2 linked regions of the Drosophila melanogaster genome follow. The protein of the gene in region 1 interacts with the protein of each later gene in a pairwise test. Each region holds a gene or a part of one and is shown in the gene's direction. Other genes may lie near its edges.

Region 1 (4,943 bases):
AGGGAAACCAAGTGACTTGGGTGCAATAACACGCCCATGATCGAAAATGCGACCCCCCATGGATGGGAGAGCGCGTCTATTTGCGATCCGCTTATCGTCAAGTGATTATCATCCGTCTGGGTCACCAGTTCAAGTCGCCGGACGACGATAAGGACACTGCCCCCCCTTTGCAGCTGACGCACTTCGGAAAGATCGGGAAACGTACGTATATAGTCGAAATGGAGAATATTGGCAGAAAATGGACAAGTTTATATGTATGTAGCTTCCTCCAGCAAATTACGTATCTCTAGTACCATTTTGTTGTTCAACGTTTCCAGCTGCTAACTAATAATCCCTGGAAGATTCTTCTATTTTCAACGCAGAAATGAATTGGACACGCAAAATTTTAGCTGCAAAAACTGGAAACTGGTGATTCCCACTAAATTGAATGCTAATTTCTGGCCACAAGTTGAGTGCAAAATGCATATACATATGTATGTATGTATATTTATATACAAATCTGCCCACACGAATGGGAAATTCGATTTAATGGCCAATGCCAGATTCTTTTTTTTTTTTGCGTTATCAGTTTAAATATTTAGACAAGTGCAAACGAGAATGACAACAACAATGCTCGATAGGGCGCAAACAGCCGAGAAATTCGAGTAGGCCCAAAAACGAGTTTCAGGCCGAGGTAGCGAATGTGAATCAAAAAGATTCAAACTTGGCGCATGGCGACGTTTTGAATACACTAACAGTACACTGATACAAATACGGTACATATATGTACATATGCTATAAGATCTCAATTAAACTACACATGTACATAGGTACTTAACAATGATACTACTATAAACAACACTTTCAGCGGATCGATGGCATGCCATCCACGTAGGGATAGTGCAGTGTGGGAACACATGGCTGAATGAAACGCATGAAGCACATGGCGATTAGCCGGGCATGCCAGGAGCCGCAAATGGAAGCGAAACACAAACTTTCTGAGCACCGCGATCACTGCAAGAATTAAAGGCAATCGAAATGCGAGTCCCCCAAATGGTTCAATTAGCCACACTTTTTCCACCCTCCCCTTCACTTTGCCTGGGACTTTCCCGGCGAACTCACCTTCAAAGTGCTCTGCTTGGAGTCCGAATATCGTCTGATCGCCGGTAAGAATGGCGTTGGTGATGGTTGTTTTTTGGCGGCGATGCGAGTTAAAGCTCCGCTAAGCTTTCCAGTCTCGAAGTTAACCGGGTTGCCAACTTTGGTGTTCAGGTCCCGACTAAGGCAAAACCGAAGCTTTTGTGTCAGTGTAGAGCGCGCCCGCTGCATGTCTTTGTAACTGTAATAAGCAGAATTTTATAGATTTTAGTGGATGTTTTTCAACAATCCTTGGTAATTATTAGTACTCACACGGCTGCGTTCGAATCGGAACTGCCGCAAAGTGAGAAGAGTCGCCGGCGCTGAGATGACGCCGCCGCTGGCTGATAAGCGATAACGATAACCCGTGACCCCTGACCGACCCAGTGATAAGTCCGCCCAAGAGTTCCGACCCGATCGCTGCGCTATCTCTTGGCCAGCATCCAAAATATTCGACACCGAAAATACAACGAAGCGAAAACACGCGTTACGTTGGTAAACAACATTTACCAGGCTAACAGATATCAGCTGTTTGGGTAGTTGGATCGCTGGATTTAGAAGCTTTTGGCGCCGTCTGGCAACGCTAGCGATAGCTACCAATTCTTGTATAAATATTTACAATTTGTGGAAATGTTAAGCGTGTGTGCCTCTTCAATTAATATTAACACTTTATTTTATATCATAATATGCGTTTCTCTCAATCCCTTAAAATGTACGTAGTTATCAAACGCGCGATAACGTTAAGGCATTTAAAGTACCCGCCAAATTGCTGGTACTGCGAACCGGTTTAAGTTGCCAACCGATTGGGAGAGTGCAACATCTCTCTCCAGCAACATTGCTGCCAGCCAAAGTCTATATAAGCAACAACGAAAGTTCAATTCTTTTCACTCAAAAATCCGTCTCCTCCGCGGTACGTTTCACTTCGCTGCGCCGCTAAAAGAAAATTCCTGGAAAATATTAACAAACACATGAGCCTAACATTCTTAACAATTCCAAAACAGAACATTTATTTTTGGTGAATTTCCTGACAATTTAGTGGTTAGTGTTTAATGTTAAAACATTGCTGTGCGCATTTACCGTTATCCGCTCGCAAGGCAAAAGAAAAAGCGCGCGTTTTGAATTCGCTGTTTCGCATTATTTTTTTTTATGTTAAAAAACAAAATATAGAAATGAAACAAAAATGGCAAGCCAGAAATTAAATGAATGAATGAATTTTTTTCGACACAATTCTGCTGCGTGTGCAATTCGATTCGAATAACAAAACAAAAAGCATAAAGGAAAAGTAAAAGAAATTCGAGGGGGGAAAAAAACGCCAAAAGAAAAGATAGCGCGAAAAGTCATAAAGAAAAGGTGAGAAAACAAATTATTTATTTCATGTGCTAAAAAGACACGCAAAACGAACGTCGTTTTATTTTTAGCCAAACAAAAGTTGTGTGTTATTTGTGCGATTTTCTGTTTTTGTTCGCCGCTCTCCCCTTGTTTTTTATCGTTTTTGTTTTTCAATCATATATTTTGTGCTTCTTTTTTTTTTTGCATGTTTTGTTTTGTGCGTGCTCTTTTTTGTTGAATGCAAAAAGGCGAACAAAATATTACGATAAAAATTCCGTTGTTCTCGCCGAAGGTTTCCGGGTTTGTTGACTTTGCCAGCTGAATATTCGAAATTGACATAAATAATAATCGCATGCAATTATTGTAAACAATTGTTTTTCGCTCAGGAAACGATTGGCGCTTTTTCTTCGCTTATTGTAATTGTTGCTGCCAACTAATCGCCAAGATAAAAATGAAAAAAGAGGGGAAAAAACCTACAGAGTTGCAAAAAATTAATTAAATTCATAGGCCAGTAATTTACATTTTTTGTGTGATTTTTTCGCTTTTTTTGTAGTTTTTGTCTAAGCTTGATAATTAGGGTTTTTTGCGGGCTGTTGTTTATCTGCTACAGTTGTACCCAAAATAATAGTCGATGCTTAAAAATGTTTACAAAAAATGTAAATTTTTGTGGCGCTTCAAATAGCTTTACTACGATTTCGAACACAATTGTATATCTTAAGTTTTGGGGCTATTTTTTGTGCTGGTTTTAAATTTTGGTTTATCGGTTTTTGTTATTTCTGTGGCTTTTAGTTTTCTTCTTCACCTGTTTAGCCTTATTTTTTGTTGTCGATTTCGGCTTATTTGTTTTTAGTTTTTTGTTGCACTATTTGAATGCGAGTTTTTTTGTTGTTGAGAGAGGCATTTCCGCCTTTATGGCAAAAGCAATTTACAATTTGCAATTTACTTTTCTCTCGTTTTTTTGCTGTATGGCAATTCATTTTTACAACTTTAATTATATGAACAAAAACTGCAAAACATGAACGGCAAAAATTAAAATTGCAAATCGCATTTGAGTGACGTCGCCGTCAACGTTTCTCCTTCCTTTTGTTTTTGTCGGCTGTTTTATTCGGTTTTTTGTTTTCACAGCGGCATTCGCCTGCGCAAAAAAAAATAAAACAGCGAATCAGTGTGTGGAAGATTGTGTGGAGGGGGGGCAGAGAGCGAGAGAGAGAGAGAGGAAGAGAGCGTATCAGGAGCGAATCTGGAAATTTTTGAACCAAGCTACCGATTTGCAAGAAGAACATGAAGTTAACAAAATATATAGGTTATTGAGCAACAAAATTACGTAAAACATTTAAGATATTTAATGGCACTTAACTCGAATATTTACCCCCTGATCCGGCCCTGGCTTCTGTGCGCTAGTGTTGGTGTGCGTGAGTGCTCTCTCTCTCGTTCGCTGCTCTCTGCTCCCCATCTTCATCGACCCCCCACCACCCGCCTTCGCCCCACTCACACACATTTCAATTACATGTGAAACGCGTGCTCCAAATTTCAAGTTCATTGTCCAAAAACAAATCAGAACAAAAGCGATAACAAACAAGCAAGCCAAAGGCAAAAAAACAAGGGCAGGTCAGCATCCGACGTGCCACGCCCCCAAATTTGGAATATATACATACATATATGCATATATGTTCATATACATACCTATGGACATAATTAATTAATTTATAAATGTGGGAGAAACGCTTAAATAAAGCCTAAAATTAGTCTAAAACTACAACGATTGATATTCCAACAAAACCAAATTCGAAATATAAAACATTTTCAAATCGATTTCGAATAAATGCATATTTACCTGGGCTTCGAGATTTGAAAGCTTTGCATCTAGATTTCATTATCATAAATTATTCGTAATATATGATATATCATGTAAAAAACTTTTGGGTATTCCCACAGTCGAGTCGAAATAAAGCCGTGAAGTATTTATAACAAAATCACACTTATTTTCGTGTTATTCCGCAACCAAATAAAAATTCTTTAGAAAAACAATGCGGCAGTAGGAAATAAAGCAAAAAACGACACAAATTTTGACACGAAATATTGTTTTTCGTGTGTGATTATTTTGTTGTTGTCATTTTTTGTCATACCAGCTTTAAGTTTAGTTTACTCTATGTGTTTATTTATTTTCATTTTGGTAGTTGGCAAATAAAATTCGCTTACGTAAATTTTGGGGTTGTTTATGTTTTGCGCACTATATATGAAAAATGATAACTATAATTTGCAATGCGTAAATAATGTTTGTCAAATGCCGACAAAGTTCCTTAAATCTATTCACAGCGTTTTCAATTTCAATTTCGCCGAAAAAGGGTTTGATTTTGCAACCATTTCTTTTTCATTGAGCTCCCCACTTTTTTTTTCCCTCATTCTCTGATATCAGCTCATATTTATAATTAAAAACAAACAATAAAAAACTGCACTGCAGACGGCAAATCGGAAAAATATAACAAAAAATAAAAAGA
Region 2 (4,495 bases), 7.4 Mb from region 1:
AGCGAGCCAAGGCTGCCGCTAGGACCTCGCCCACGGTCCTCTTGCGCCAGAAGAGTGTGCGATCCACAGGCGGTTTGGTGACTCTCGGCACGGGTAGATCCTTTTCGTTCACTTCGGCATTGGAATCATCCTTTTTGGTGGGGGATTGTTGCGAGGCCTCGGGTTCTTTGGGTTTAACGGGCTCTGAACTTTCCGGAGCCTTGTCCTTATCCTCCTTTTTGATCTGGGACAGCTTATTCTTTTCCTTCTCATTCTCCTTCTCGTCTTCTTCATCGCTGGAGTCGTCTATGCTAAAATCAGAATCGGCATCTATGTTGTTGGTCAAATGTGCCTGCGCTGGTATGCTTTCCGTTTGATCCGTTGACTTCGTGGCGTCCGAGGCTGCGTCTGATTTGCTCTTAGTCTGCTCCTCTTCATCCTCGGAGGGGCGACGTCGCCGATAGCTTCGATGCTTGACAGCCTCTGCCTTAATGGGTTTGTATGCCACCTCGTCGGTGGTGGGCGCCGTCTTTGGCTTGACGACATCCTGCTGGGCGGGACCGCCCAACTTTTGTTCGTATAGATGGCGATAGAAGCCGTCCAGATCCTTTTGCTTGGTCACATCGCCAATGGCCTCGAGGTACTCATCACGCTGCTCCTGCTCCTGCATCTGGCGTATGGACTCGAGCTTCTTGCGGTAGGCGGCAGTCACGTAGGTGTCCTTGTCCTTATACATCTCGCCCTCGGCTTCGCGATCCTTCTGCACCTGCCGTTCGATGCGCAGCTCCTTCTCCAGCTTTCTGCGCTCGGCATGCTCCATCAGCCGGCCAATGTACTTTGGTTTCCGCGGCTCCTGGCTCTTCGTCTGCTTGGCCTCCTCGCGTTTGCTGTCCATGTCATCGTACAGCTCGTCGTACTGGAATATGGTTGGATCCTCGGCCAGGGCCTTCTCCTGCTGCCGGCGGGCCACGCGGCGTTCCATTAGACTAGGACCCATGGATACGCCGCCGGTTCTTGGCTGAAATTGAGGAGCAGCTGGGTCATCATCGGTCTCGGAGTCGCTGTTCTCGTCGAAGATGGAGGGCCTTTCGACTCGTTTTAGAGGTACTTTCTTCTGTTGGCCGGGTAAAATAAGGCCATATCTGCACGGTGTTGAAACGGGTCCTTAAAAAACTGCTCAAATTGTTTATTTTTAACAAATTACTTACTGTTTTGCCATTCTTGTTTATTTATGAATAATTAGTATGACCGTCTGAAGCGACCACAAAAATCCCTCAATGGTGCAAAACTGCTGACAGCAACGCTTTACCGGCTAAAAGAACCGTTGTATATCGATAGGAGGACCATTCGATAGTATTAAGATAATAGTTTGAAACACGGATAGTATCACAAAATTCGTTATTTCAATGTGAAACTACTTTAAAACTTGTGCTTTAATCAACTTGTATTTAATTGTGTTTCAATGGACCAATCATTACTTTATTTTCTGTTTTATTGCCAAACCAAGGCTCTTACCCCTTGAAATCATGTTAGTGCAACTCTAGAGACGTAAAATACACATACAAATATGGCGAAATATTGAAACAAATTAAAATAAATTTAAATATAAATAAATTGTTATGTTAATAAAGCGTTTAATTATCACTTAAGGCCTGCTGTTTTTTTTTTATTTATTTTTTTACGCCAATGGAAACATCGGTCCTTAGTCTGGCTACGCAGAAAAATATAGACGGGATCATGATGCTCGGGGGGATCAGAGAAATATCAAAGATTACTTCTGAAGCCGTTCAAGTCTATTCACATGCATAGTGGCAGTTGGGCTCCAAATAATTGGAAGCGATTTTAGTCAAGCCAGCAACCGCGGCCTGCGTCCGGCTAACTATCGATAGGCACGTTGAGCGTAGACACATTCGACAAACGCGGCCACACTGTTCTGCGTCTTTTTCCTTCCGTTTCCCTTTCTTTTCCCTTTTTCACGTTTGCGTGAGTACGTGTACTCCGAGTTTTGTTCAACAAAATTGTATTTAACTCTCTTTTATTTCCTCTATTTGCAGCGGTCGTGTAAAACAGTTTTTGCAAACAAATCCAGGTAAATGCCGCTTCCATTGGACCCGTTTTAAGCGCGAAAATTCAGCCAGATTAGATTGGCGGCGATCGCCGGCCGAAACATGTGCAAATCCACCCAACTCCGTTTTTTTTATTACCCATTTTTTTTTACTGTGGGCCAATGTGCCAAAACTGATCAGTTTACCGTGTAAACAATGCATGAAATGCCTCGCTACATGCGCTATATATATGTATTTTTTTGGTTATAATTTTTTTAATGTGCAAACGAATATGAAGTGAAAAATTGGCCAAAGTGTGTGGCACAGTGTTGTTGTGCATGTGTGGGTGGGTGTGAGCGGCTTTAAATTGTGGCAAAAAGTTGGGCATTCAGTTGAATCGAATGCACGACCGAAAACCGGCTAAATTAAACAAATTTTTACGCAGTTTAGTTGGTAAACTTACCCGAAATAGTTGTTGTTTACAGCCACTTGTACGCACACACACACAGCCGCAGAAACACAGACAGTATCATTTTTTTTTCTTTGCTATTTTGCACGTGTTTTACTTGCTGTTTCTGCTTCTTTTTTTATTCAATGTTCCGTTCCTCGCTGATTTAAAAAGTGAAGTAAAAAACTGTTAAAAATCATAATCAATATTAAAAAACGATTCGTCGTCTGTCCGCGTGAATTTCCGAAAAGGCGCCACGCCTCCTGCCCTCCAGAAATCTAGAGTATTATAATAGTAGCCACTTTTATTGAATACTTTATTATGCTCATAATGGTTCATATGTGTTAGGGAAACCTTTTTCCAATAAGTCATATGCCACACTTGTATAGGCTCCATAAGTTGATATGTTTTGTTTAGGTGGTCAATTGATCTGTTCTTGTAGTACACATAGTTTTACGTACTTTTCAAGTTAGTTTTTCATTTAATAGGGCTTAAGCTTTGTTAGCCAACCTCATAGTACTACTTATATAGTAGTTATATGCAATTTAGTGAGATACTTTTTTTTAGTAGGCTCTGAGCACGTTTTGCTTGGTTTTGTAGACTGATTTTATAGAGCAATGGGGGTGGCAAAGTCTGCACTTTCGATTAAAGCCCAAGACATCATCTTTTTTTTTCTGTGATTATTGCCTCTTGACTAATTGTGTTCCCGAACATTTTGCAGCCATGGTGCGTATGAACGTATTGGCCGATGCCTTGAAGTGCATAAACAACGCCGAGAAGCGTGGCAAGCGGCAGGTGCTGCTGCGTCCCTGCTCCAAGGTGATCATCAAGTTCCTGACCGTGATGATGAAGCATGGCTATATCGGCGAATTCGAGATCGTCGACGATCATCGTTCCGGCAAGATCGTTGTCAACCTGACCGGTAGGCTAAACAAGTGCGGCGTCATCTCGCCCCGCTTCGATGTGCCCATCAACGACATCGAGAAATGGACCAACAATCTGTTGCCCTCGCGTCAGTTTGGTTACGTTGTGCTCACCACCTCTGGCGGCATCATGGACCACGAGGAGGCTAGGAGAAAACATTTGGGAGGCAAAATTCTCGGCTTCTTCTTCTAGAGAAACCAAGTTCGCATCGTAGAGAGTCTGTATGTGCTGCTAAGGAGTTTGATATGTAGATTGACGTTTTATTTCACCGACCATGCAACCAACTATGTACTTTGTGCACAGGAAACAAGGGGCGAAAACGCTGCTACGTTCATTCAGAAAACAAACGACGATGAATGTTCACAAAGTTACGCGAAATAAAATGATTGATACATAATAATTTTAATAACGATTTTGTCTACGATCCATATACTATGTTAAGCGGTACAGTGATAAATCAATAGCGACAGTAAAACGATCTGTTAACATAAAACCCAATTTGTGTATAATATAACCTCGACCGGAGTTACTTATAGCTGGATATTGTCAATTTTATGGCTGAAATCAAGACAATTAGGATGTTAAGAACGCGCCATGCGGTTTCTTTTGAGGTGCTTAAAACACGGTTACGTGCTTTCCATAATGAAAGTAAGGGCCAATTGTTCCCACTCTTGACACCTTAAAGCCAAAAATGATTAGACCATCATAGTTTTGGTATTCCCACCTAGGTTTCTTATTATTTGTTAGAACTTCTTCACCAAGAAAACCTCAATTACTGTCAAAAATTGTTTATGAAGCAAATAATGCTTGTTAGAATTTGTTGTAGTTTCTATAGAACAAAATGTACATGTAAAACGTACATTTACATGCTTCTTCAGGTTTTCAACTGTTTTCCAGCACAAGTTCCGAATTTATGCTGTAGATAACTGCTGCAATTTTTGAGTAAAAATTTGTTTTAATTATGATAAAGTGTATTCACTCGATGAGTCAAATTTGATGTTATCTCAAGTTATCCCTAGGGAGTACTAGGTTTTTTATGAACGGGTGTTGGGTTTGTGATATTCGTTTTTAGGCATTACTTGTTATCAACACTTAAAGT

Evidence for each region. Proteins that work in one complex are often made in the same cells at the same time.
Region 2: the proteins of CG3726 (region 1) and RpS15Aa interact in a two-hybrid assay, tested with the Drosophila melanogaster proteins (one large-scale study listed by BioGRID).

The regions. Positions count from the first base shown.
Region 1 is NC_004354.4:5,915,162-5,920,104, forward strand, and holds the start of CG3726 (uncharacterized protein), read left to right. Parts: upstream 1-1,935; 5' UTR 1,936-2,466; intron 2,467-4,943. Other genes in the region: Shmt (serine hydroxymethyl transferase), read right to left, coding at 1,102-1,308.
Region 2 is NC_004354.4:13,335,078-13,339,572, reverse strand, and holds RpS15Aa (ribosomal protein S15Aa), read left to right. Parts: upstream 1-1,934; 5' UTR 1,935-2,068; intron 2,069-3,193; 5' UTR 3,194-3,195; coding exon 3,196-3,588; 3' UTR 3,589-3,936; downstream 3,937-4,495. Other genes in the region: CG15747 (uncharacterized protein), read right to left, coding at 1-1,121, 1,188-1,198.